Linked DNA regions of Canis lupus familiaris. The protein of the gene in region 5 purifies or fractionates together with the protein of the main gene of each other region. This does not show direct contact. Links are inferred from orthologs where the notes say so. Each region holds a gene or a part of one and is shown on either strand. Other genes may lie near its edges. The genes, in order: SIRT1, SKP2, SIRT2, ATG7 and FOXO1.

What was found.
Region 1: the proteins of FOXO1 (region 5) and SIRT1 purify together in Homo sapiens (affinity purification with western blotting; 5 studies listed by BioGRID and IntAct, with this or other methods). This does not show direct contact. The link is inferred for Canis lupus familiaris from reciprocal best matches to the Homo sapiens genes FOXO1 and SIRT1.
Region 2: the proteins of FOXO1 (region 5) and SKP2 purify together in Homo sapiens (affinity purification with western blotting; 4 studies listed by BioGRID). This does not show direct contact. The link is inferred for Canis lupus familiaris from reciprocal best matches to the Homo sapiens genes FOXO1 and SKP2.
Region 3: the proteins of FOXO1 (region 5) and SIRT2 purify together in Homo sapiens (affinity purification with western blotting; 3 studies listed by BioGRID). This does not show direct contact. The link is inferred for Canis lupus familiaris from reciprocal best matches to the Homo sapiens genes FOXO1 and SIRT2.
Region 4: the proteins of FOXO1 (region 5) and ATG7 purify together in Homo sapiens (affinity purification with western blotting; 4 studies listed by BioGRID). This does not show direct contact. The link is inferred for Canis lupus familiaris from reciprocal best matches to the Homo sapiens genes FOXO1 and ATG7.

What each region holds. Positions count from the first base shown.
Region 1 is NC_049225.1:19,929,056-19,933,738, reverse strand, and holds part of SIRT1 (NAD-dependent protein deacetylase sirtuin-1), read right to left. Parts: intron 2,061-4,683; coding exon 1,732-2,060; 3' UTR 1,716-1,731; exon of another isoform or gene 1-1,715. UniProt on the Homo sapiens protein: NAD-dependent protein deacetylase that links transcriptional regulation directly to intracellular energetics and participates in the coordination of several separated cellular functions such as cell cycle, response to DNA damage, metabolism, apoptosis and autophagy.
Region 2 is NC_049225.1:73,261,995-73,266,253, forward strand, and holds the end of SKP2 (S-phase kinase-associated protein 2), read right to left. Parts: intron 2,977-4,259; coding exon 2,763-2,976; 3' UTR 1,080-2,762; downstream 1-1,079. UniProt on the Homo sapiens protein: Substrate recognition component of a SCF (SKP1-CUL1-F-box protein) E3 ubiquitin-protein ligase complex which mediates the ubiquitination and subsequent proteasomal degradation of target proteins involved in cell cycle progression, signal transduction and transcription.
Region 3 is NC_049222.1:115,013,223-115,017,905, forward strand, and holds part of SIRT2 (NAD-dependent protein deacetylase sirtuin-2), read left to right. Parts: intron 1-2,381; exon of another isoform or gene 2,382-3,720; coding exon 3,721-3,850; exon of another isoform or gene 3,851-4,683. UniProt on the Homo sapiens protein: NAD-dependent protein deacetylase, which deacetylates internal lysines on histone and alpha-tubulin as well as many other proteins such as key transcription factors.
Region 4 is NC_049241.1:7,175,816-7,180,498, forward strand, and holds part of ATG7 (ubiquitin-like modifier-activating enzyme ATG7), read right to left. Parts: intron 1,639-4,683; coding exon 1,480-1,638; intron 1-1,479. UniProt on the Homo sapiens protein: E1-like activating enzyme involved in the 2 ubiquitin-like systems required for cytoplasm to vacuole transport (Cvt) and autophagy.
Region 5 is NC_049246.1:760,558-765,240, forward strand, and holds part of FOXO1 (forkhead box protein O1), read left to right. Parts: intron 1-1,039; coding exon 1,040-2,377; 3' UTR 2,378-2,395; intron 2,396-3,069; 3' UTR 3,070-4,683. UniProt on the Homo sapiens protein: Transcription factor that is the main target of insulin signaling and regulates metabolic homeostasis in response to oxidative stress.

The DNA.
Region 1 (4,683 bases), on a different chromosome or scaffold from region 5:
AGTATAAAACACTGGTTTTGTATTTCAAAAGTTGGAGGAAGATATCCAGTCATTAAACAGTCTACAAAACATATGCCAGTAGATTACATAAAAGACTATGTACAATATAAAAAGAGCTGAAAACAGTCTTCACTGTAAAAATAATTTAAAACAAATTTTTCAATTTAAAATATCATCTATAGCACAAACACACATCATGCAAATGGAAAACTAAATATACTGCATTCTTTAGTGTAGCCAAATAAATTCAGATTGAAACATCTTCAAAGTAGGGAAATAATGGCCATTCAATAAAATTTTTCTCTCTGGCAGTAATGGTCCTGGCTGGATATTTTATCCTTAAAGAACAGCTATATTTCAAACCCTTTTTTAAAACTGTAATAAATACTAAAGCAACATTAGGAAGAATACTTTATAATGTGGGAGTAATGTGGGGGAAGGTGTGGAAAATTGCTCTGTGCAATTTTATAAAGTATGAACTTTTTTTTGAAAGGCTAAGAAGCTTCTGCAGTTGACAAAGTTTGATCTCTAGTTTTAAGGCAGGCTAAGCTTTTAAATAAAGATGTTATAGGAACTAGTTTCATTTATTAACTATTCTATTAAAAGTTATTACCATGTTCATCTTCATAATACCAGGCTAGCAGTTTGATGTCTATTACACAAATCCTCCCAACAGGAGACATGTACTTACTGGCTGAGTTATAATTAACATCTCAGTACTTTGGAACCGTAATCAGTGGCCTGTTGCTCTCCTCATTAAGGGAAAAGAAAAGCAGCGGTCCAAAATATTACACTCTCCCCAGATGAAGTACCATTATTATAGATTCATAAAGGCTTTGCATATTCACATATGGGCAGTTTAATACTTGTGGGAAAGAAGCAATGCAAGCTCTACCACAGTGATAGGTATTTAAACAAGGGCAAATATTCTTGAAACTAAGGGTACCCAGGCAGGGACTATTGTTTCTAAAGCAATTGAAACATTTCCAAAGCATTTATTTTTTTTCAGCTTAGTTTTAGGAGCCAATATAGACATTACTACATGTCCACAGGAAGTACAAAAGCCATCTTCAACAATACAGTATTCCTGAAACTCTTAGCACCAAGTCTTACTTTAAAAAGCAAGGACAACTAAGTGCTCTCCCACATATTGTTGACTTCCCTCTATACATACTGCATGTCATGAAATTTTTAAAAAGTTAGCTGCCACAAGTTTTGGAAAATGCCAGTGTTTAAAAATAGGTAATTGTGTGCTAATAAAGAATCAAAAGTTTAGCAGAACAGACATTTAAGGAGTTCAAACCATTCAATGTTACAAAGAAAAGTGTGAAAATACCATTCTTTGGTCTAGATAAGCTGTTCCCTTTACATTAATTTAACATTCCAATGGCTTTTTGAAAACTTTAAAATGTTGAAATTCACTAGGCAAGAACAAAATTATATATACATATGGATGTATCATACAAATGAACCTTTAAAAGAAAAGTCTTGACCAACATGTGATTAAAGATACTTAGTACCCTTCTTTTAAAAAAAGTTAGTGTTGAGTGTACAAGTACAGAAATAAGAAGTTAAAAATTATCCATGAAAAAACAATCTAATTTACCAGTCTATAAATATTACACCTTTCTGGTTTCCTTGCTCTGTTGAATTCACAAGTAAACATTCATTTTGACATGCTGAAATTCCTAATGCTGGTGGAACAATTCCTGTACCTGGACAATTACTACATTATGATTTGTTTGATGGATAGTTAGTATCTGTTGCTTCCTGTTTCATGGATATAGCTTCATTGACTGCCTCTTGATCACCTCCATCAATTCCAAATCCAGTTCCTCCAGCTCTCTCATTGACATCAGCTTCATCTTCCAAACCATTGTAAAATTCTTCAATCTCACTTTCATCCTCCAAGTGTTCTTCTAAACTTGGACTCTGGCAGGTTCCACTATCACTGTTACTGCCACAAGAACTAGAGGATAAGACGTCATCTTCAGAGTCTGAATATACCTCAGCGCCATGGAAAATGTAACGATTTGGTGGTAAAAAGAGATACTGGTTACCTGAAATACAGTAATGAAAGTGAAATGGTAAGTTACTCCCAGTTTTTTAAGACAGTCTGATTATAGGTTCCAGCTCTGCCTTTTAAACCTGAGCATCATTACAAGGGGGCTTATTACTGTAGCGTTCTTCAAAAACAAGCTGCTAAGTGCTCACTCCTAGCTGCAAATCTTAGTTCTGCCACCAACCAGCTTTATAAATTTGGGGAATTAAGCTCTATGCCTCAATTTCCTCATCTGGAAAAGTAAAGAACTATGTTCAATGAAGGGTTACTTAATCAAATCCTCTGAACAGATCTCATGACCTAAAATATCAAGGCCGGCCTACATTACTCAATTCATGTTCACTGAATAGAACTTCTCTAACGCCCGTATTCTATCTTCAAGACACCTTCATTATTTTTATTTAACTTTATGAACCTAGAATTAAAAGGTTTGATTCCGGGATCCCTGGGTGGCGCAGCGGTTTGGCGCCTGCCTTTGGCCCAGGGCGCGATCCTGGAGGCCCGGGATCGAATCCCACGTCGGGCTCCCGGTGCATGGAGCCTGCTTCTCCCTCTGCCTGTGTCTCTGCGCCTCTCTCTCTCTCTCTCTCTCTGTGACTATCATAAAAAAATAAATAAATAAATAAAAGGTTTGATTCCATAATGGCTTCACCACCTATTTAAACGTGTAGTTTGCAGCAATGGCATCACAGGAAAAGTTAGACTCTCAAACCCCACCACCCACCTACTGAATCTGAATCCTAGACATATTCAAGTATGAGAAACACTGATCTAGCATTGGATGTTAAACCCCAATTCCCTCTCAAATTTGCATTCACAGTTTAAGATGTGACCTTTGTTGGTAAGGACAATTCTCTCTCCCCTAAGCTATGGGTCCAGGTTAACAGCACCTGTTAGTAGGAACTTTAAATATTAATGGTGAGGGCAGCCCAGTGGCTCAGCGGTTTAGCGCCACCTTCAGCCCAGGGCGTGATCCTGGAGACCCAGATTGAGTCCTGCATCAGGCTCCCTGCATGGAGCCTGCTTCTCCCTCTGCCTGTGTCTCTCTGCCTCTGTGTGTGTGTTTCATGAATAAATAAAATCTTTTAAAAATAAATATATTAATGGTGAAATGTTTTCTACCTTTGAATTCATAAGAAAGAGTAACTTCTAACTCCTCTGTTTCTTATAATAAATGTCATATTTATTGTACCATATGCCAGAAGGATTCACAAAAGCCTGGCTGCTAATAATTGATCTGAAGTAGATCTTATCTGAAGATATACCTAGGTTTCTCTTTAAAATGGCTTTCAAACTTTGTAAGATCATGACCCAGGTTCTCACTTTACAACAACCTAATATGGGTGTATAAAAATCCTGATATGAATCCGCAAAATTGATTTCACATTCCACTACATCACAAATTACAGTGTGAAAACCACGTTTCCTTCTATTTTCAAAGAATACACAGTACTCTTCAGTTTTCTTAGCTATTTAATATTAATTTCCATGATTGGATAAGAGTACCTGTATTCTAGCTGCTAACAGAAAAACCTATCTGGAATTTCTTAACATTCTTTTAAGGGGTCCTTGCACATGGCTGTGTCCACTTTTCTATAGTTTTTGGCCCATGCTTCAATTTTTTTTAAGTTTTTTTTTTTTTAATTTTTATTTATTTATGATAGTCACACAGAGAGAGAGAGAGAGAGAGGCAGACATAGGTAGAGGGAGAAGCAGGCCCCATGCACCGGGAGCCCGACGTGGGATTCGATCCCGGGTGTCCAGGATCGCGCCCTGGGCCAAAGGCAGGCGCGAAACCGCTGCGCCACCCAGGGATCCCGGCCCATGCTTCTAAAAAATGCTTAAGATTTTATTTATTCACGAGAGAGACAAAGAGTGAGGCAGAGACATACAGACAGAGGGAGAAGCAGGCTCCCCGTGGGACTCGATCCCAGGACAGCAGGATTACAACCTGAGCCAAAAGCATACAGATGCTCAACCATGAGTCACCCAGTTGCCCTAAAATATTATTTTCATTCTGCGTTAGCCCCTTTGATGAACATTATTTCTCAGCCCTTGAATCTCTGTTTGGTTCTGCCTCTTCTTGGGAACCATCAAGACAGATTTATTAAAGTTTGCCTCATATACGCTCCCACTTTCTTTTCAGCCTTGATCTTACCAACAGAAAAATCACAGTAAAAAATTTAAGGACTACTGTGGTAATTCGTTTCTAACAGCTGGAATTTTACACTCTACATGTTACCTTTTTAAATTCTCACAATGCTGAAGTGTATGCTATTTTATTCTCTTTTTAAGATTTAAATTTATTCATGAGAGACACACAGAGAGAGGCAGAGACCGGGAAAAAGCAGGCTTCCTGTGGGGAACCTGATACGGGACTCTATCCCAGGACCCTGGGATCACAACCTGAGCCAAAGGCAGACCTCAACCAATGAGCCACCCAGGTGCCCTATTCCCATTTTTCTAAAAATTTATTTTAGAGAGAGAGAGAGAATACAGGGGAGGAGGGTGGAATTATGCTTTGCCTAGTTTCTCCTGGGAAGATGTCCCCTATTTTAACTCCTTACTTACTGTTCAAGACCAAAGTCATAAGTTAGGTTTTGGAAAACCTTCTATATTAT
Region 2 (4,259 bases), on a different chromosome or scaffold from region 5:
AGAGGTAATTGAGGATTTAAATCACTAAAAAATTCATTCAGTTTTGCCAATGTACCAATAATATGTGCATCATTATACTTAGGGATAGTACCTACCAAGACAATGCGTAAAAAAGATCCCAGGGATAATATGACATATAAATGATATAATGAAAAAAATTAAATTGGTGGGCGGGAAGGGATAACAGTAATATACAGATGAACTGCTGAGCTACAAGGAGAAATGGTTTCTTTCCAATGCAGTATATTCTCGACTTTAACATTAAAAATAAGCATGAGGGGATCAGGGCATAAGTCAACAAGAAGGCTTATTAAGTTTTCTACGTTAAGGAAAACATGAGTATTTGTTTTTAAGTGTCATGGACCTGAAGATACATTTTTAAGAAAATTACTGACAAAATAAAGAGGAACTAAAGAGAAAATTAGGAAAGAATATTTTAATTTGAATATTTTATAGGAATACTCAGTAAGGCATGGGTCGGAACTAATTCTATTCCTCTTTTTAAAAAAGATTTATTTATTAGAGAGAGAGAAAATGCAGCAGGGAAGGGCAGAGAGGAGGGAGAAAGAGTCACAAGCAGACTCCACACTGAACATGGAGCCCATCCTAGGACTTGATCTCACTACCATGGCAATATTACCTTCAGTCTAGGGCTTTTTGCTGCTGAACCTATGGAAATAGGGGACAGATTAATGAGAGTAAGATATATAGTATGAGCTGGTCCCGTCTATATTTAAAAAGTCCTACTAGCTGCCTTTTATTAGTACTTTAGTATATTAATCACTTGAATTTCAAATGTTTTATAAATGTTACTATTTTAGAAGCACTTTAAAGAATAAACCTGTACTTAGTACCTTCTCAGAAAGCATTCACACTATCATTTTAATTTGACAAAAAGCATATGATGTGGATGGAACAAAGGGGACCATTGTTGGGGTCCTTTTGTAGCCATAACCAGAGGGCTGGGACCAAAGACACCCCAGACGAAATGCTAATTTTAACCACAGTACTTAGGGAAAAAAAAAAAAAAAGAGAGAGAGAGAGGGAAAGAACAAAAGAATACAACTCAGCGGAAGTACTCATTTTTATAAAAATTGTTTTATTTTAAAACAGGTGTATAAAAGTAGAAATCACATACAAAAATACAGATCACTCTGACATGTTAGCAAAATAGCTTATGGCTGGACTTGAGTTTGGAAGTACTGTACATTTGAGGGCATCTGGAAATCACAGCCCAATTGGGTACTATCATCAGCCCTTGTCACTAATCTGTAAACAATAATTTCATGTAGTATATGTAGCACTTTTTAATCAGTACAAAATCAAAACATAATTATTTCCTGCATAAGACCACTTTAAAATGTTCCTCCTTAGGTCTGGGCAGATAAGGGCACTTCAAATCGTTGTTTCTGACATTTGAAGAATCTGATTTAAAAACAATTAATAGAAATAACAGGTTTTAGCTTTTTTGTTCATTTTGAACATATGGGAAGATCAATTTAAATTAAAAAATTAGTGTTTTGTTTTAAAGTAGAATTTAATCCTTTTTCTTCTAGACATTATTAAAAAAAAAAAATAAAAGCACTGTTGTTATCAAAAGATTCCACACCTGAGTCTTAACCTTGATGTCATTTCAAGTTGTCTCACTGCTTAGAAACTGCATGGAACTCACACCTACTTCTAATGTGTATTTCTGAGTGAATGAACATGTAGTTCTTCTTGGGCAACTCCATGTCCGGTAACTTTAGAAAATAATGACTTTCAATTATTGTGGGGGACATTTTTTTTAAAAAGGCAATTGAAAATACTTGATTCCAGAGTAATATAAAAATAACTTCAAGAACTTGGACAATAAAGGAAAAATGGCAGGGAACTTCAGTTTGGCATTCCATCCAACATTTCAAGAATAAAGACTGACCAGCTACTAGCATCTGTCTGAAACAAAGCGAGCCATTTTAAAAGCGAAAGAACCCATGTTAACGTCATTTGATCACAAAGTTAGAAGACCACAATTATATTTCCTCAGCTAATTCGGAATTCTGCGAGCACATGACATTATGGAAACTTCACTGATGTGCATGAGAAGATACTTCAGATTGACCTGTCATAGAAAACTGCCTCTTGAGCTTTCAAATTCTCTACCAATTCTTCACCTCTGATTGGTCAGTCATTTGTCATTTAGTGTGAATTGCCCAGAGCTATTTGTTTCCATGAACCTAATTTCATATCTACAGGCAAAGCTGAAATGCGTATTTTTCTATCTCCAGAAGAGGTTGCCACAAATGCTACTATCCTATGATTCTCCTTTTGTTCCGTTCACAACACAAACACTTCTAGCAGTCTATGTCTCATAAAGCAATACTGAAAAATTAAATAGAAGTCACCATATAGATTGTGAGAACGATTTGCTGGTGGTGATTCTTACGCTTGATTCTAAATAGATTTAATAAGAAGGGCACTTGAAAGAGGTGGCTCAAATCTTGCTGCTTAAGGCATCCTGAAATTACAGGCTCTCCTAAAATTCCCAAAGGCCTTAAACTTAGGCTCCTAAGTGTACAAAAGCAGTGACCGAAGCTTTTCTGGTTATTTAGAAAAAGCAAAACTTCATAGTCTTCTCTCTCAAACGGCTGTCTAACATACTTGCAGAATGAAGGCAAAGGGAAAACCAAGAATAAAAACAGCTGAGTGCTCCAGCAAGCAGGCTTCCTGCCTATTTTCCCTGTTCCAAAGAAAAGAGGAGACACCATCTTGTGATAAATACTTCATAGACAACTGGGCTTTTGCAGTGTCAGCCGGCATCGGATGCCCCATATCTCCTGGTTCTTTTTGTTGCCGGTGGTCGGCCTGGCGATGGTGGTGAAATGGGAACCATTAATCTGCAGATGAGGAAGGGCTTCTTTTAACAGTTGAAGGGTACCATCTGGCACGATTCCAAAAACTTGTAGTGTTTTTAGTGTGGGGATTTCTCCAAGTTCACTGGAAAGGAAGAGAGACTTCTCAGAATAGCAGTATCTATGGTAACTGATCCACCAGAGTTACATGACCCAATTTTTACCATTTGTTTTATATTCTACAAAATGCAAACTGAAAACATAATTTGCAATCAATGATTTGAGAAAATAGAATAGATGAATCAAACCAGAAAGCACAGACCTTTCTGTGCTCGGACAACATGGCCCCAGGACCCACGCAGGCGCATTTTGTTAAATGTTTTCTCACAATCTAAAAATGCTGAGATTTCTTTAAAATCCAACCATAGTTGCTTCCTTTTTCTATTCTCTCTCTTTTTTTTTTTTTTTTTTAATATTTATTTATTCACGAGAGACATAGGGAGAGGGAGAGGCAGAGACACAGACAGAGGGAGAAACAGGCTCCATGCAGGGAGCCCGACGTGGGACTCAATCCCGGGACTCCAGGATCCGCCCTGGGCCAAAGACGGCGCTAAACCGCTGAGCCACCCGGGCTGCCCATCCTTTTTCTATTCTTGATCTAAAACTGAAAGGAGTTCAAGTGTCATGAGAAGCTGGGAGCCAGTGATGGCAAAGAATCACCACAGGTTACATGTAATTCCAAAATATGGACTTGACCTTTATTTGAACCAGGCTCTTTCAAAAGAGGAGCAAGAGAAGTTAAAGTAACTTCTTAGTAGGTCCATTACCTGTGATAACATCTAACAGCGACTTTGCTATGGTATTTAGGACAGGGCTGCGTAGGTGGGTGCAGATGGGAGTAGTTGGGCACAGATGGAGAAAAGGATTGATTAGTCACACCTTTTCTACGAGAGGCAAAAGCCATCTGACTTCTTTACATATTTTTTATTTTTTTGGTCACATATATGCCAATCCTCTTCTTAGCTATTTCCCATTAAGTGAAATACAACTCTGTCAACAGAGAAATTCTGGTCCACAAAAAAGAGAGCCTGTTTCCCCAAAGCAAATACTTTTAGGTAATGATTCTTTCTTCTTAGCTCAGATCTATGTGCTTAGGAATTCATCTCTCTGATCTGTATTTGCTCCAGGTTGGGACACACAGTACAAAGTCTTAGGAAAGGGAATATTTAGTTTGGAATATCAACAAAATCCCACTACAGATCAATGAACACATCAATGACCTAGAGTTAGAAGCATCCTTTATATTTTCATATTGCCGATTAATTACTAAAAAAACCAAACTTTCCTCATAGTAACTGTAACCTGGCCTCCAATCTTTTCTTCCTTCCAGCCTATTCTATGTACCTATGTTCAAGGCATCTTCCTAAA
Region 3 (4,683 bases), on a different chromosome or scaffold from region 5:
GGGGAGGATGAATTTGTTTTAAGTCCCAGATTTCTCAAACCGGAACAGGAGCTCCTGCCCAGGGCTTGCAGTGGTGGTGGCCTGGGAAGGGACAGCCTCTCCTTCCAGGAGGACCCCCACTCAGGATAAACCTGACCGTTCTTCCCAGAGTCCATTTTATCCCCATGGCTCAGACATGGTACAAACAGCTCACTCCAAGCCGAGGGCCCCCTGTGCGCGATTTCATGACATCAGCCCCACAGCCCTGTGTTGTCATCTTCCGTCATGAGTGTTTACTGAGCACAAACCCCATGCCAGGCCCTGCTGGCAGCAACATCCCTGCCCTCCTAGAGCTGATAGTCTAATGAGGGGAGAGAGACAATGGACAAGACAATGGTAGCACGTCCAGTGTGCCACGATGTCTGTGGAGCACCATTAAGCGAGAAAGGGGAACTGGAAGTGCTGGGGGTGGGGGGGTTGGTGCCATTGTCAACAGGTATCAGAGAAGGCCTCACCAAGAAGGGGACATTTAGGAAGGGAAGGAGGGAAGGAGGGTGACATGGGATCATCTGGCCGGGAGAGTGTGTTCCAAGCAAAGGGAACAGCCAGGGCAAAGGCCCTGAGGTGAGACTATGTGGTGTGTTCGAGAAGCTGGATCCGGGTGAGCAGAGAGGAGAGCAGGAGAGAATGAAGGAGGCGAGCTCAAGGAGGGGGACAGGGGCTGACCTTGTGGGATCCTGGGGCCAAAGGAAGGGCTGAGTGAGATAGAGCAGGAGGGCTCTACATGGGGTGGGACGGGGTGACCTGAAGCCAGGCATCCCTCTCTGGCTGCAAGTAGGGGGCTGATGGGGAGGGCGGGGTGAGGAAGGGGGTCCTCCGATGTCCAAGTAGAAGAGGCTGGAGGCAGGGGCCAATGAGGGGAGAAGTGTGCGGGTCACGAATCTGCTTCAAAGGTGAAGCCATGTGAGGCCAAAGCCTCCGCCCCAGCACAGAAGCACACCCACGGCGAGCTACCTTCTCATGAAATCCAGCATCGGTGCACTCTGGGGGCCGTGGGAAAGGTGCAGGCGTCTGTCCCCTCCCGGCAATAATTAATGCATGCATTTAGCTACACATACGTCATCAAAACGTATGTTTTGAGGCCTATTACAGAAAACAGAGGCAAAAGTGGAAAAAAAGTTCCACTCTCATGTTTCAAGAAACCATTTTGTTGTTTTGTTTTGTTTTGTTTTGTTTTGTTTTCAAACTTGTCACCCTCTCCATCAACCTCAGCCACTTTTTGAGTCACTGACCCAGTTTTCTGGAACACACTGTCTTCACTTCTTTCCGAATTGTGATGATGTGGCACTTCTGAAGCTATGTACGATAGCTATTTTTATCTCCAGATACAAGTCTCCATTCAAACATGAGAACAGTTGCCCTGTTCGTTCAAGCCCTGTGATCTCCACAGCAAAGCAGCTTATCGTCCTTTTAAATATCTGCATGGCCTTTACCCGCCACATAGGGCTTTCTCTCACTTAACTTCCTGTGTGGAAGACCCTTCCATATCCACACCCACATAGCAGCTTCCTGCTTGCTCTTTTCTTTTCTTTCTTTCTTCCTTTTTTAGAATTTTTTTAAAAGATTTTATTCATTTATTAATGAGAGACACACAAAGAGAGAGGCAGAGTCACAGACAGAGGGAGAAGCAGGCTCCATGCAGGGAGCCCAATGGGGGCCTGGGGACCCGGGATCGAGTCCCCAGGATCCCACCCCAGGCCAAAGGCGGCGTTAAACCGCTGAGCCACCTGGGCTGCCCAGGATTTTATTTTTAAGTAATCTCTCCACCCAATGTGGGACTTGAACTCACAACTCCAAGATCCAAGAATCGCACAGTGAACCAGCCAGGCGCCCCCGACTTCATGCTTTTTCAAAGCTGCCATTGCCTTCGTGTCCATCAGGGGGACACAGTGTTTTAAAACAAAAAAGGGAGCCAAGGTTTAAAAAACGAGATTTCAGATGAAAATCCAGACTTCAGGCTCCTCTTGCAGATTGAGAAGAGCTGGCTACGCCCCACCCTGCCCCGCCCGGGGTCCTCCAGAGTCGGGGAGCGCTGCGCTGGAGCTGGGGGGGCCACTGCCCACTGTCACCATGCCCTGCTTCGTGCCACACACCCCAGCCACATGTCACTTGCCGTTTACCATCATGTGCTCATGACTCTTTGTCCTTTAGGAGGGGGCTTCCTGGGGCCATACCCCCCAGCCGCCAGCCTCTCTCCCCTAGCTGGCTTCTCATATCACAGGGGCGCCTGGGTGGCTCTGTCTGTTAAGCGCCTGCCTTTAGTTCAGGTCATGGTCCCAGGGTCCTCGGATTGAGTCCCACATGGGGCTCCCTACTCAGTGGGGAACCTGCTACTCCCTCTGCCTGCTGCTCCCCCTGCTTGTGCACACTCTCTCTCTTTCTCTGTCTCTCTTTCTCTTTCTCTCAAATAAATAAATAAAATCTTTCCAAAAAATATTCTATACGTAGGGAAACAAGTACACACGTTCATATATAGTTTTCCCACAGCCCTTGTTCTCCTGAGCCTTTTAACCTCTTGGAGGGATCATTTCAACATCAGGACACACAGGTCAGCCTCGTTCTTTTCCAATTTGTGGTTTCTTTATCAAAAGTGGCCTCAGACTAACAGAGGCATCTGAGTAGTTCTTGTACATGCTATATAATTATTTGCACGCACACTGCTTACTCATGTGTGAGGGAGTCAGTAGACTGAGTCAAGTCACAAAGGCAAAACTAAAGCAGGGGGAGGAGGCAGGGGGAGAGCTGCAGGGAGTGTGGGAACAGTGGCTCTTGTCTGCCCGTTGGGGGAACAAGCTGATCGCTGGCAGGGAGCAGAGAGAGCAGTGGGGGCCGTCTGCCCTTGAAAGACAACCCTTTCGGTTGTTCACGGAGTCTCGGGGAAACCGTGCCGGGGTAGCTGGGGGCTACATGTGACCGGCCATCTCTGGGTGGCATGTGCCCATGTGCCCCGTCAGCACCTGCCCCTGCAGCATTCCTCACGGGCCAGCAAAAGCTGCTCCCGAGGGGCTGCGTGCTTTAAGAAAAATGAGAGCGCTCATATGCCTATATGGAAGAGAAGAACAGCCTGGCTGGTTGAAGGAGGGATATACCTGCGTCTGAAAAGAATGCGATGACTGTGCCATCTCTGAAACAGACCGTAGTAAGAAACCCTACTGCTAATTAGGAAAACAGTGATTAAAACCAAATAAACCCTCCCGATTCACTTATTTCTGTTAATGCTTGGCCAGGCCTGCCATATCCAGCTGCGCGGGTTGGCTACTGCACAAGGACGCCACACCTGAGGGGGCTCTATCTACAGCAGAGACATTGTAGGGCTTGTTCGTGAAGGCCAACAAATTTCTGGCAGGTGGCACTAACGTCGTGTGGTCCTAACAAAACAAATTTTCTGAAAAAATGGAAACAAAGTGGCCCGATAATGCGGAAAACCTCCATATGGGCTGATGGTGGCCGTGGGCCTGGGCTCACAGATGTATGAGCGTGGGCCCCGCCGTTAAGCATCTGTGACTTTTACGCTTCGGTGGCACCATGAGATGAGCGGAGGGCTTTACGGGCACACCGTGCCCCTCGTTTCTCCTTCGCTTCCTTCTCCCTCCGTCCCATTTGCTTCTCTTCACAGCGCCCTGCTCCTGCCCCTGAGGGGCCGGCTCGCTGCTGAGCCTTTCCCCCCACCTCTCCCCGCAGAACATAGACACCCTGGAGCGGGTGGCCGGGCTGGAGCCTGAGGACCTGGTGGAGGCCCACGGCACCTTCTACACCTCGCACTGTATCAGCCCCCTGTGCCGACGGGAGTACCCGCTCAGCTGGATGAAAGGTGAGGCCCCGGAGGTCATCCACGAGGGCGGGCCTCCTGCCTCCCGTCGGCTCCCCAGCGCCAAGATCAGGGGCTCCACGCTGTGGGCTCCAGCGGTGTCCTTGCTCTGTGGCCCCCCGAGATCTGAGGCAGCAGCGGGGTCTGCAGCGGGCTCCCAGCACCACCTCACAGCCGGGTTATTAGGGGAGCAAGGTCCAGACCCAATTCAGCCGTACACAGAGATGTGTGTTGGCAGAGAGGTCGCCGGACCGCCATGCAGTCTGTTCTGTGGGGTCTGAGGCCCCGGCCCTTTGTCCTTTGAGGGGCTCTGATCTTACCTTACAAGAGGGGCCCACGGAGGGAGACACAACTGCACTCTAATCCGTACCTGCTCAGTATGGCAGCCGCTGCCACATGTGGCTCTGGAGCGCTCACAGATGTCACTACCGTGACCAGTGGACTGAATGTTTCATTTTCCGTCATTTTTATTAATTAAAAAGTTAAAAGCCACATGTAGCTACGTGCACCATACTGGACAGGACGGGGCTGGAGGCCCCGGATCCGATGGCCCGTTAGTCAGATGCAGGCAAGCATGTTCCGTGGAGCGTGGAGCTGGACGCAGGCCTGGTTAGGGACAAAGGCGGGGGGCGGGGGGGGGGGACTGTCCCGAGGGGTCCAGACAACAGGGCTTGTCAAAGTCAGCGTCCCCGTCCATGGAAGGGCAGAGTGTCCAGAAAAGGGGGGAACTATTCCTCCGGCCCACATTTCTCGAATGCCATTGAGAGCCTTTGTCTGACATCCATTGTGCTGCCGAGAAGCCACACATTTCACCCATGGAAAGCCATTTCTGACAT
Region 4 (4,683 bases), on a different chromosome or scaffold from region 5:
AAAAATTTCAGGCAACTAGTTAAGTAGCAGAGGTGAGATTCAAAGTCAGGTCTCTCTGGGCCCTGAGGGGAGCTCATAAGACTCTCCAGTGATAGGTTGGATTATTCTTCCCAACCATGCACTGCCTCTCACTAATGTTTTCACTCTTAGCCACATGACTTTGCAGGACCTCCCACTAGGAAGGCAAAGTATACCCCTGGACTTTGGGTTTGGCCCTGTGACCAGCTTTGGCATGGGGATGGAGAATGCTGCATTGTGTCACCAGTGAACTGAGACTTTTAGAGGTATGATACGTTTTCACCAATCCTTTTTCATTTCCACCTTCTATTGTAAGAAGAGCATGACCCAAATGACTGCTGCTCCTCAAGCCTAGATTTTAAAACTATAACACATAGCACAGACTGGAACCTGACTTAAAGACTGGAGTCCAGCTATAGCCACTCTGCAGACCTGTGAGTATGAGATAAATGCTTATAATAATAAGGCACTCTCATGTTAGGACTGTGCGATATGCAATAATGTAGCAGCAACTTAATTAATATGATAGGGTTCTAGCACTCTTATTTCTTTTGGCCTCCAGCACCTAGCTGGGGACACAGTGGGTGCTTAAATAATGGTGTTGAATTAAACCCAATAAATGATGTTCTTCTGGATCAATGATGAAATGGACAAAACCATCAAGTTGCTTCTTTTAAAGCAAAAATTAAAATGAATGAATCTAATACTGAGTAATTAAACAGAAAAACCTTGAGAAAGTGGTCTTTTTTCAAAAATTTTTTTGTTGTTGTTGGTAAGGCTGAGAGCCTCTTGTGGCACTTTAAGTATTAGCAGATGCTTTGGAGACATCTAACCTAACTTCTGTCATATAAACTGATTAAGTATGCAAGATGCACATTTCCTTTTGTGGATGACCTATGAAAAAAACTGGTGAGATTTTGAATTGAATGAGCTGAATGGCTTGTCTCTTATTATTTGGTTTTTTTAAAGTAAATAATGCAACTCAAAAACAACCAGCAGCTTGAGTAAAAAGCTAAATATTTAGCCAGATCTTCATTCTGTGCAGACTTGTATTCAATTTAATTTCATAAAACTGCACTAAGTAACTATCAAGTATTCTGGTAATGAAGGAGAAATAAAATCCTATACCTGAGCTACCAAGAATCCCTTTGGGATAAGGCAGTATATAAAAATATCATACTTCTAAATTCTTCAAATGAGACTCCGATAATGCTTTGCAACTTACAAAAGCATTTTTTTCATACATTCTTCATTTTATTTTCACAATATATGAGTTTTGTTTTTTGATGCCCATCTCTGAGATGAGGAAACAGAGGCCTGGCCATATAATGAAGGCCTGGGTAGTAAGTGACAAATGTCTGACTCTCTTTTACCAATACCACAGGACCTTCATTGCCCAAGATTAATCAGTAGGAAACTACAGGAGACAAGCTCTGACGTTCCCAAACAACATCAACGTACCACTCCAGGGAATATTTTCTGAAGCCGGTCTGCTGCAGCCAGGGCCTTGGGTTTACCACCTGCTAGGCAATCTTCAAATTCATAGAGAGGCTGCCTCACAGGATTGGAGTAGGAGATATTGGCGTTGTCCACAAATGTGATGTGTCTGACACCCCAACCCTGCATGGAAACAAGAGATCATGGTGTGTTTCTGACAAACATGTCACAGGGTGTCTCTCTTGAAATCCCTAAAAGAGGTTTTGCTTTGGAGTAGCTTAGGAACTTCAAAATACAGGAAACTTCAGAAAAAGGATTGTGCAAATTCAGTTTTTGATCAACGGAGGGTCAACTTCCTTTAAAAGACAAAATAATTATATACCCGGTGCCTGGTTTCCTGCAGTAATGAGACTAAGAAATGTCAGAGTGGGTCTGACTAATAACTCATTATTTTTGACAGTAACACCAGAGAAAAATTTGGAGGTAAGTCCCATAGGAATTGTCTAAGCTGTTGTCTTAAAAGGATTAGCAATGAGCCCCCAAATGTCCTTGCTTTCCCTTAATGAATAATTAAGTATAAATAACAGCTCACTTAAAACTCACTTAAATCCTGAATTAACTCCTCAGAAAAATGACTTCTGAGTTATTTCCCATTGTATAATGTCATAGAAGATTTTGGCTACAAAGCTGATTCTGCTCTCTCTTATTTCAATATCCTTCCAGCAGAGACTCAGAAACTCAGTTAAACTGATGTTTCCAAGGGGATGGTCAACAAGAATCCAAGGTTCATTTTCAGGGTTGAGGACAGGCCAGAATCTATCTTTTCAAAAGCACAGTTATCTGTGTTGAAAGCCCACTGGTAAACTTGGTCTACTCATCCAGTTTTTGTTTTTTTTTTTTTGTTTTTTTTTTTTATTTATTTATTAATGAGATACAGAGAGAGAGATGAAGGCAGAGACACAGGCAGGACAGGCTCCATGCAGGGAGCCTGACGTGGGATCTCCAGGATCACACCCTCGGTTGAAGGTGGCGCTAAACCGCTGAGCCACCGGGGCTGCCCATACTCATCCGGTTTTATAAGTGACTTTTACCAGCAAAGCAATCTACCGTGGAGGCAGAATAAAGATACGGAAAATCCCTCTCTCTCTGTGTCTCTCATGAATAAATAAAGAAAATCTTAAAAAAAAAAAAAAAAGACACAGAAAATCCAAAAGTCACTTGTGCTTGATTTGGACACATTTATTTCTTTTTTCTTTTTTTAAGATTTTCTTTATTTATTCATGAAAGACACACACACACACACAGAGAGAGAGAGAGAGAGAGAGGGAGAGAGGGAGAGGCAGAGACACAGGCAGAGGGTGAAGAGGCTCCATGCAGGGAGCCTGATGGGGGACTCCATCCTGGGTCTCCAGGATCACACCCTGGGCTGAAGGTGGCACTAAACCACTGAGCCACCCAAGGATCCCCGACACATTTATTTCTGAAGTATTTTTACATCCCTTAAAGCAATGCTGAGTGGAAGGCAGTCTAGGAAGATGCTGGGCAAAGGAAAGAAAGCCAAGTAAATTACAAACAGGCCATGGGTTAGCCACATCCAGGGGGGCATTCACACTCAACTTTTGGCTTCCTGGAATGCTAACACAGTTTAAATAGCTAAGATTAAAGAAAACTGTAATAGTCAATGCTGGTGAGGATGTGGTGATGAAAAGCTATTGTACTGGATGAGAATATAAACTGATATAATTTTTCTGGAAAGCAATTTGGCAATATGTTTCTAGAATCTTTCAAATGTTCATATCTTTTGGCCTATTTGCAGCAATCTAACCTCAGTAAATACTTCCAGCAATCTACCCTAGGAAGCAATTTGAAATATTAACAAAAATGTTCCACAACATAATTTGCAGTTGTAAAATACTGGAAACAATGTTAATGCTTACCATAAGAGGAGTATCTTAGAACATTACATTTCATCATATAAGAAAGCATATTCTAGGGGATCCCTGAGTGGCTCAGTGGTGTAGCACCTGCCTTCAGCCCAGGGCGTGATCCTGGAGTCCCTGGATCAAGTTCCGTATTAGGCTCTCTGCATGGAGCCTGCTTCTCCCTCTGCCTATGTCTCTGCCTCTCTCTCTCTCTCTCTCTCTCTCTCTGTGTCTCTCATGAATAAATAAATAATTTTTTTTAAAAAAAGCATATTCTATAGACATTAAAAACGCTTTACAGGCATTATTTTTAATTACATGAGAAAGTGTTTACAATGTTAATAAATAAAAGTGAAGGGCATTATATAAATCAAATAAGATTTTTAAATATATATTTAACAAACATTAAAGGAAATAAGTGAAAAAGTGGTAAGAAAATGGGTGTCTTCTTTTTCTGCTTTATAACTTTTACACTTTACAAATTTTCTATGGTAGATTTCCAATGACTTTATAATTCTCAATAATGCTAAGAAAACCTAAACACCTAATTCTGGAAGCCAGAAAAAGAACACAAAATAAATTTCACAAAAAGAGGAAGATATTAATGAAGATAAAAACAGATATTAATGAATCTGAAAGCAAAACAAAACAAAACAAAAACAAAAACTATAAAACTAATAAATAAATCAAGGACTGAGTCCTCCAAAAAGACTGATAAGACAGACAATCCTCTCTGGAAAGTCTGAATAATAGGAAAAAGGAGAAAACGTAAACATGCAACCTTGGGAGTGAGGAAAGATTTTTTAAAAGACAGAGTTTTAAAAGATGCTAAGAGAGTATTATATGTATTTTGTGTCAATATATTTTAAAATTTAGATGAATAAAATAAATAATATTCACAAAGGAAATAAAATTAAAGATATACTCTCACTAATAAAAGAAACAAATTAAAAAGCTCTGTTTTGTACATGGTTCTAAAAGTACAGGCTAGTAAAATGTTTTTGGAAGGTAACTTAGCTTGAAAAAAAACTTATATATACATAGTGTGTGTGCATACACACACACACACACACACACACAATACATTCTCTCTAACATAATAATTTCTACTGGGGCTTTTTTTTTTCCCTAAAGAAATAATCACATACATATGTAAAGATATAAAAATATTCATTTCAGCAGCATCTCAAAAATATGCTGAAATTGAAAAAAATTGAGGACATGGTCATACAACAAAATACTACATATACATAATACAGAACACATAGAGAACCACAATTACTTTTCTATGAAGAATAAAAACCTG
Region 5 (4,683 bases):
CAGAGCAGGACCTCTGATGCAGTGACCTTGAGTTAGGTGGTGCATACTACTGGTTATTTTGGGGAGGAGGGGGCAGTGAAGAACACTAGAATTGAAATTTTCCCTTTTTTGGCAGTTCGGTTTTCTAAAATAGGAACTATGATCCCGTTTGCCTTATATTTACCTATGTTTGCCTAATGGTGTTTTTTTGTTTGTTTGTTTGTTTTGTTTTGTTTTTTGTTTTTTGTTTTTTTTTTTTTTGGCCTAATGGGCTTGAAAGGTAGAAAGGAATCTAAGTCTTAGTAGTTTTCAAGCTTTTAATTCTTAAACTAAGAATATATCCTGCTTCACTTCTTTCTTTCCCATAATCACGTGGGCCCAGTAATATAAAACTTCTCACTTTTGTAAATTGCATATGTGCAATCTGAAGAGAATTGGCAGTAGTTTTAGGGGTGATAGAATGGAAAGAATTTTTGATAGCACTTTGTTGTAGAGTGCTATTTGCATAGCATTATTAACTAAGCGAAGATTTTTTTTTTTAATTTTTATTTATTTATTATAGTCACAGAGAGAGAGAGAGAGGCAGAGACACAGGCAGAGGGAGAAGCAGGCTCCATGCACCGGGAGCCCGACGTGGGATTCGATCCCGGGTCTCCAGGATCGCGCCCTGGGCCAAAGGCAGGCGCCAAACCGCTGCGCCACCCAGGGATCCCTAACTAAGCGAAGATTTAAGTGGTTTTAAAACCAGTTCCTATAATTGCTCTATAAAATACAGCCATATAAAAGAATATGTTTATAATAAGAATATGTTTATTTAATTTTGTCCCTTCATTTCATTAAGATACAGATCCTGTTTTTAAGATAAGATACTATTTTTCTTGTACTGGTTTGAGCTCTTTTATAGTGGAGTTCAGAACCTGTATGGGTTGAAATCTGTACCACAAACTTCAAATTTTTTTTGTGTGTGTTTACACACACACACACACACACACACACACTGAATAGTAAGTATTCCAACTGGAGAAGTACTGTGTTTCTAACATGATGTTTTGCTTTACAGAATTCAATTCGTCATAATCTGTCCCTACATAGCAAGTTCATTCGTGTGCAGAATGAAGGAACTGGAAAAAGTTCTTGGTGGATGCTCAATCCAGAGGGAGGCAAGAGTGGAAAATCCCCCCGGAGAAGAGCTGCTTCCATGGACAACAACAGTAAATTTGCTAAGAGCCGGGGCAGAGCTGCTAAGAAAAAAGCATCCCTTCAGTCTGGCCAGGAGGGTGCTGGGGACAGCCCAGGATCTCAGTTTTCTAAGTGGCCTGCGAGTCCAGGCTCTCACAGCAACGATGACTTTGATAACTGGAGTACGTTTCGCCCTCGAACTAGCTCAAATGCTAGTACTATTAGTGGGAGACTTTCTCCCATTATGACCGAACAGGATGATCTTGGAGATGGCGATGTGCATTCTATGGTGTACCCACCGTCTGCTGCAAAGATGGCTTCTACTCTACCTAGCCTGTCTGAGATAAGCAATCCTGAAAATATGGAAAATCTTCTGGATAATCTCAACCTTCTCTCATCACCAACGCCATTAACTGTTTCAACCCAGTCTTCACCTGGCACCATAATGCAACAGACACCATGCTACTCATTTGCACCGCCAAACACCAGTCTGAATTCACCCAGCCCAAACTACCAAAAATATACATATGGTCAGTCCAGCATGAGTCCTTTGCCCCAGATGCCTATGCAAACACTTCAGGACAACAAATCGAGCTTTGGAGGTATGAATCAGTATAACTGTGCACCAGGACTCTTGAAGGAGTTGCTTACTTCTGATTCTCCTCCCCATAATGACATTATGACAGCAGTTGATCCTGGGGTCACCCAGCCCAACAGCCGGGTCCTTGGTCAGAATGTGTTGATGGGCCCTAATTCGGTCATGTCAACTTATGGCAGCCAGGCATCTCATAACAAAATGATGAGCCCCAGCTCCCACACCCACCCTGGACATAGCCAGCCAACATCTGCAGTTAATGGGCGTGCCTTGCCCCACACTGTCAACACCATGCCCCACACCTCGGGTATGAACCGCTTGGCCCCAGTGAAGACAGCTTTACAAGTGCCTCTGTCCCACCCCATGCAGATGAACACCTTGGGAGCCTACTCCTCTGTGAGCAGCTGCAATGGCTATGGAAGGATGGGCCTGCTCCACCAGGAGAAGCTCCCCAGTGACTTGGATGGCATGTTTATTGAGCGCTTGGACTGTGACATGGAGTCCATCATTCGGAACGACCTCATGGATGGAGATACTTTGGATTTTAACTTTGACAATGTGTTGCCCAACCAAAGCTTCCCGCACAGCGTCAAGACAACGACACATAGCTGGGTGTCAGGCTAAGAGTGAGTTAGTGGACAGGTAAGATCACCCCAATATCAAAAGACTTTCTGAAGCCAGAGCTTAAAAGATAGGAACACGGTACCTTGCCACATACCTTACATAGTTGGGACTTTTTTGATGTCAGCTGGCTGTTCCTTACAGAGAAACATCTTTTAGCATACATTCTCTGTCCCTTTTGCAGCAGAATTTTTTTCTTTTTGAGCTTAAGCATAAGGAAACTTCCTCTCTCTGACTGCTTTAAAGATTTTCTTTTGACAGTTAGATGGTAGCTGGTCAATAAATGAATATGTTTGATGTAAATCAAATACTGCAGTTTTTTGTTGTTTTGTTTTTGTTTTCTTTTTTAATTAATTAATTAATTAATTAATTAATTACGATAGTCACACACAGAGAGAGAGAGAGGCAGAGACACAGGCAGAGGGAGAAGCAGGCTCCATGCACCGGGAGCCCGACGTGGGATTCGATCCCGGGTCTCCAGGATCGCGCCCTGGGCCAAAGGCAGGCGCTAAACCGCTGCGCCACCCAGGGATCCCTTTTTTTGTTTTCTTAAGTAGAGTTTTCCCCACTGAATGATTTCAGAGCTGTTTTCAAAAGCCCTAGCACCGTGCCCCTGCCCCCTGTGTCTGTCACTCTAAAATGTTAAATTGAATTGATTTTAATTTGGCTGTATTTTCATTGTGTGTTTTTTCTAGGCTACACTTAAAAGTACTTCAGATTGTCTGACAGCAGGAACTGAGAGAAGCAGTCCAAAGATGTCCTTCACCCCTCCTTTTCGTTTTCTTGATGAAAGAAAGAAAGAAAGAAAGAAAGAAAGAAAGAAAGAAAGAAAGAAAAGAAAGAGAGAGAAAAGTGTTTCTTTTTTCCTTTCGTCAGACTTGGCAGTGAAGACACTTTTCCTGTACAGGAAGTTTGCCCGATGTTTGCAGGTTATGTGCTGCTGTAGATAAGGACTGTGCCATTGGAAATTTCATTACAATGAAGTGCCAAACTCACTACACCATATAATTGCAGAAAAGACATTCGGATCCTGGTGTGCTTTCAAGTTTTTGTACATAAGCAGTAGCTACAGAATTGTATTTGTGTGTATTTTTGTTTTTGTTTTTATTTTTTAAATATCCATTTGGTCCAAGGAAAGTTTATACTCTTCTTGTAATACTGTGATGGTCTCATGTCTTTGATAAGTTAAACTTTGGTTTGTGCTACCTGTGTTCTGCTGAACAGATGAACTACAGAGAACCAACTCTCCTCCATCCTGCGCCTCTGTGGAACAGCTTTGGGCCTGTTCACACAGCCACACAATTCACATGAGAACCAATAGCCTGTTATCAATCTGCTGAATAATGGACTCGTCAAACACCTTTCGGGGAAAAATAGTTTAAATGCCAGCCTTGTACAGGTCTTTTCTATTTTTTTGTTTATTTTGTTATTTGCAAATTTGTACAAACATTTAAATGGTTCTAATTTCCGGATAAATGATTTTTGATGTTATCGTTGGGACTTGAGATCATTTTTGGAATAGATATTGAACTGTAATGTTTTCTTAAAACTAGAGTCTACTTTGTTACATAGTCTGCTTGTAAATTTGTGGAATCCCAGATATTGGAGGCAGCATCCATAATTTTCATTTTGTATTTCTAACTGGATTAGTACTGATTTTATACGTGTTTAACTGGTTTTACACTTTGGGATGCTACTTGGTGTTGTTTCTGACTAATCTTAAAAATCATTGTAATTAGTACTTGCATACTCAACGTTTCTGGCTCTGTTTTGGCAAGAGAGCAATGTATAGTTGTGGACATTTTGCGTTTCATGTTTAGGAGAACGTAATATGTTTTTATGTACGTGTTTGAAAGAAATTCCATCTGCTCCTCTTATCCCGTGATCTGAGTGCACCGCCAGAGCATTGAGTCTTCTGATAAATGTCCGTGTGCTGTGTCATTTCAGTTACTCCTGAGGGGCCTTGTGATGTTTGTGGATCAGAAAAGGAGTCCTGTGTCTAAAACCGTGCTCTTCTCTCAAATTGGGAGTTTTGATCAACTTAACCTTTTTGAGTTGAGCTTTATTTTATTTTTATTTTTATTTTTATTTTTATTTTTTTTTGAGTTGAGCTTTAGCAAGTGTTTTCCCTCATACTACTTTGCTCTTATTTTGGTCTAGGTGGAGGTTGGTTTTGTAGCTCTGCCTCAAAGGATTATGTTAAGACTCACACTTAATCCCTCTCTCCCTTCTGTCCCACAGATTACTTAGCACACTGTGGAAACACAGGTGGATGGAGGAAAACTTAAAATAGGACTTTAGTGATTGGC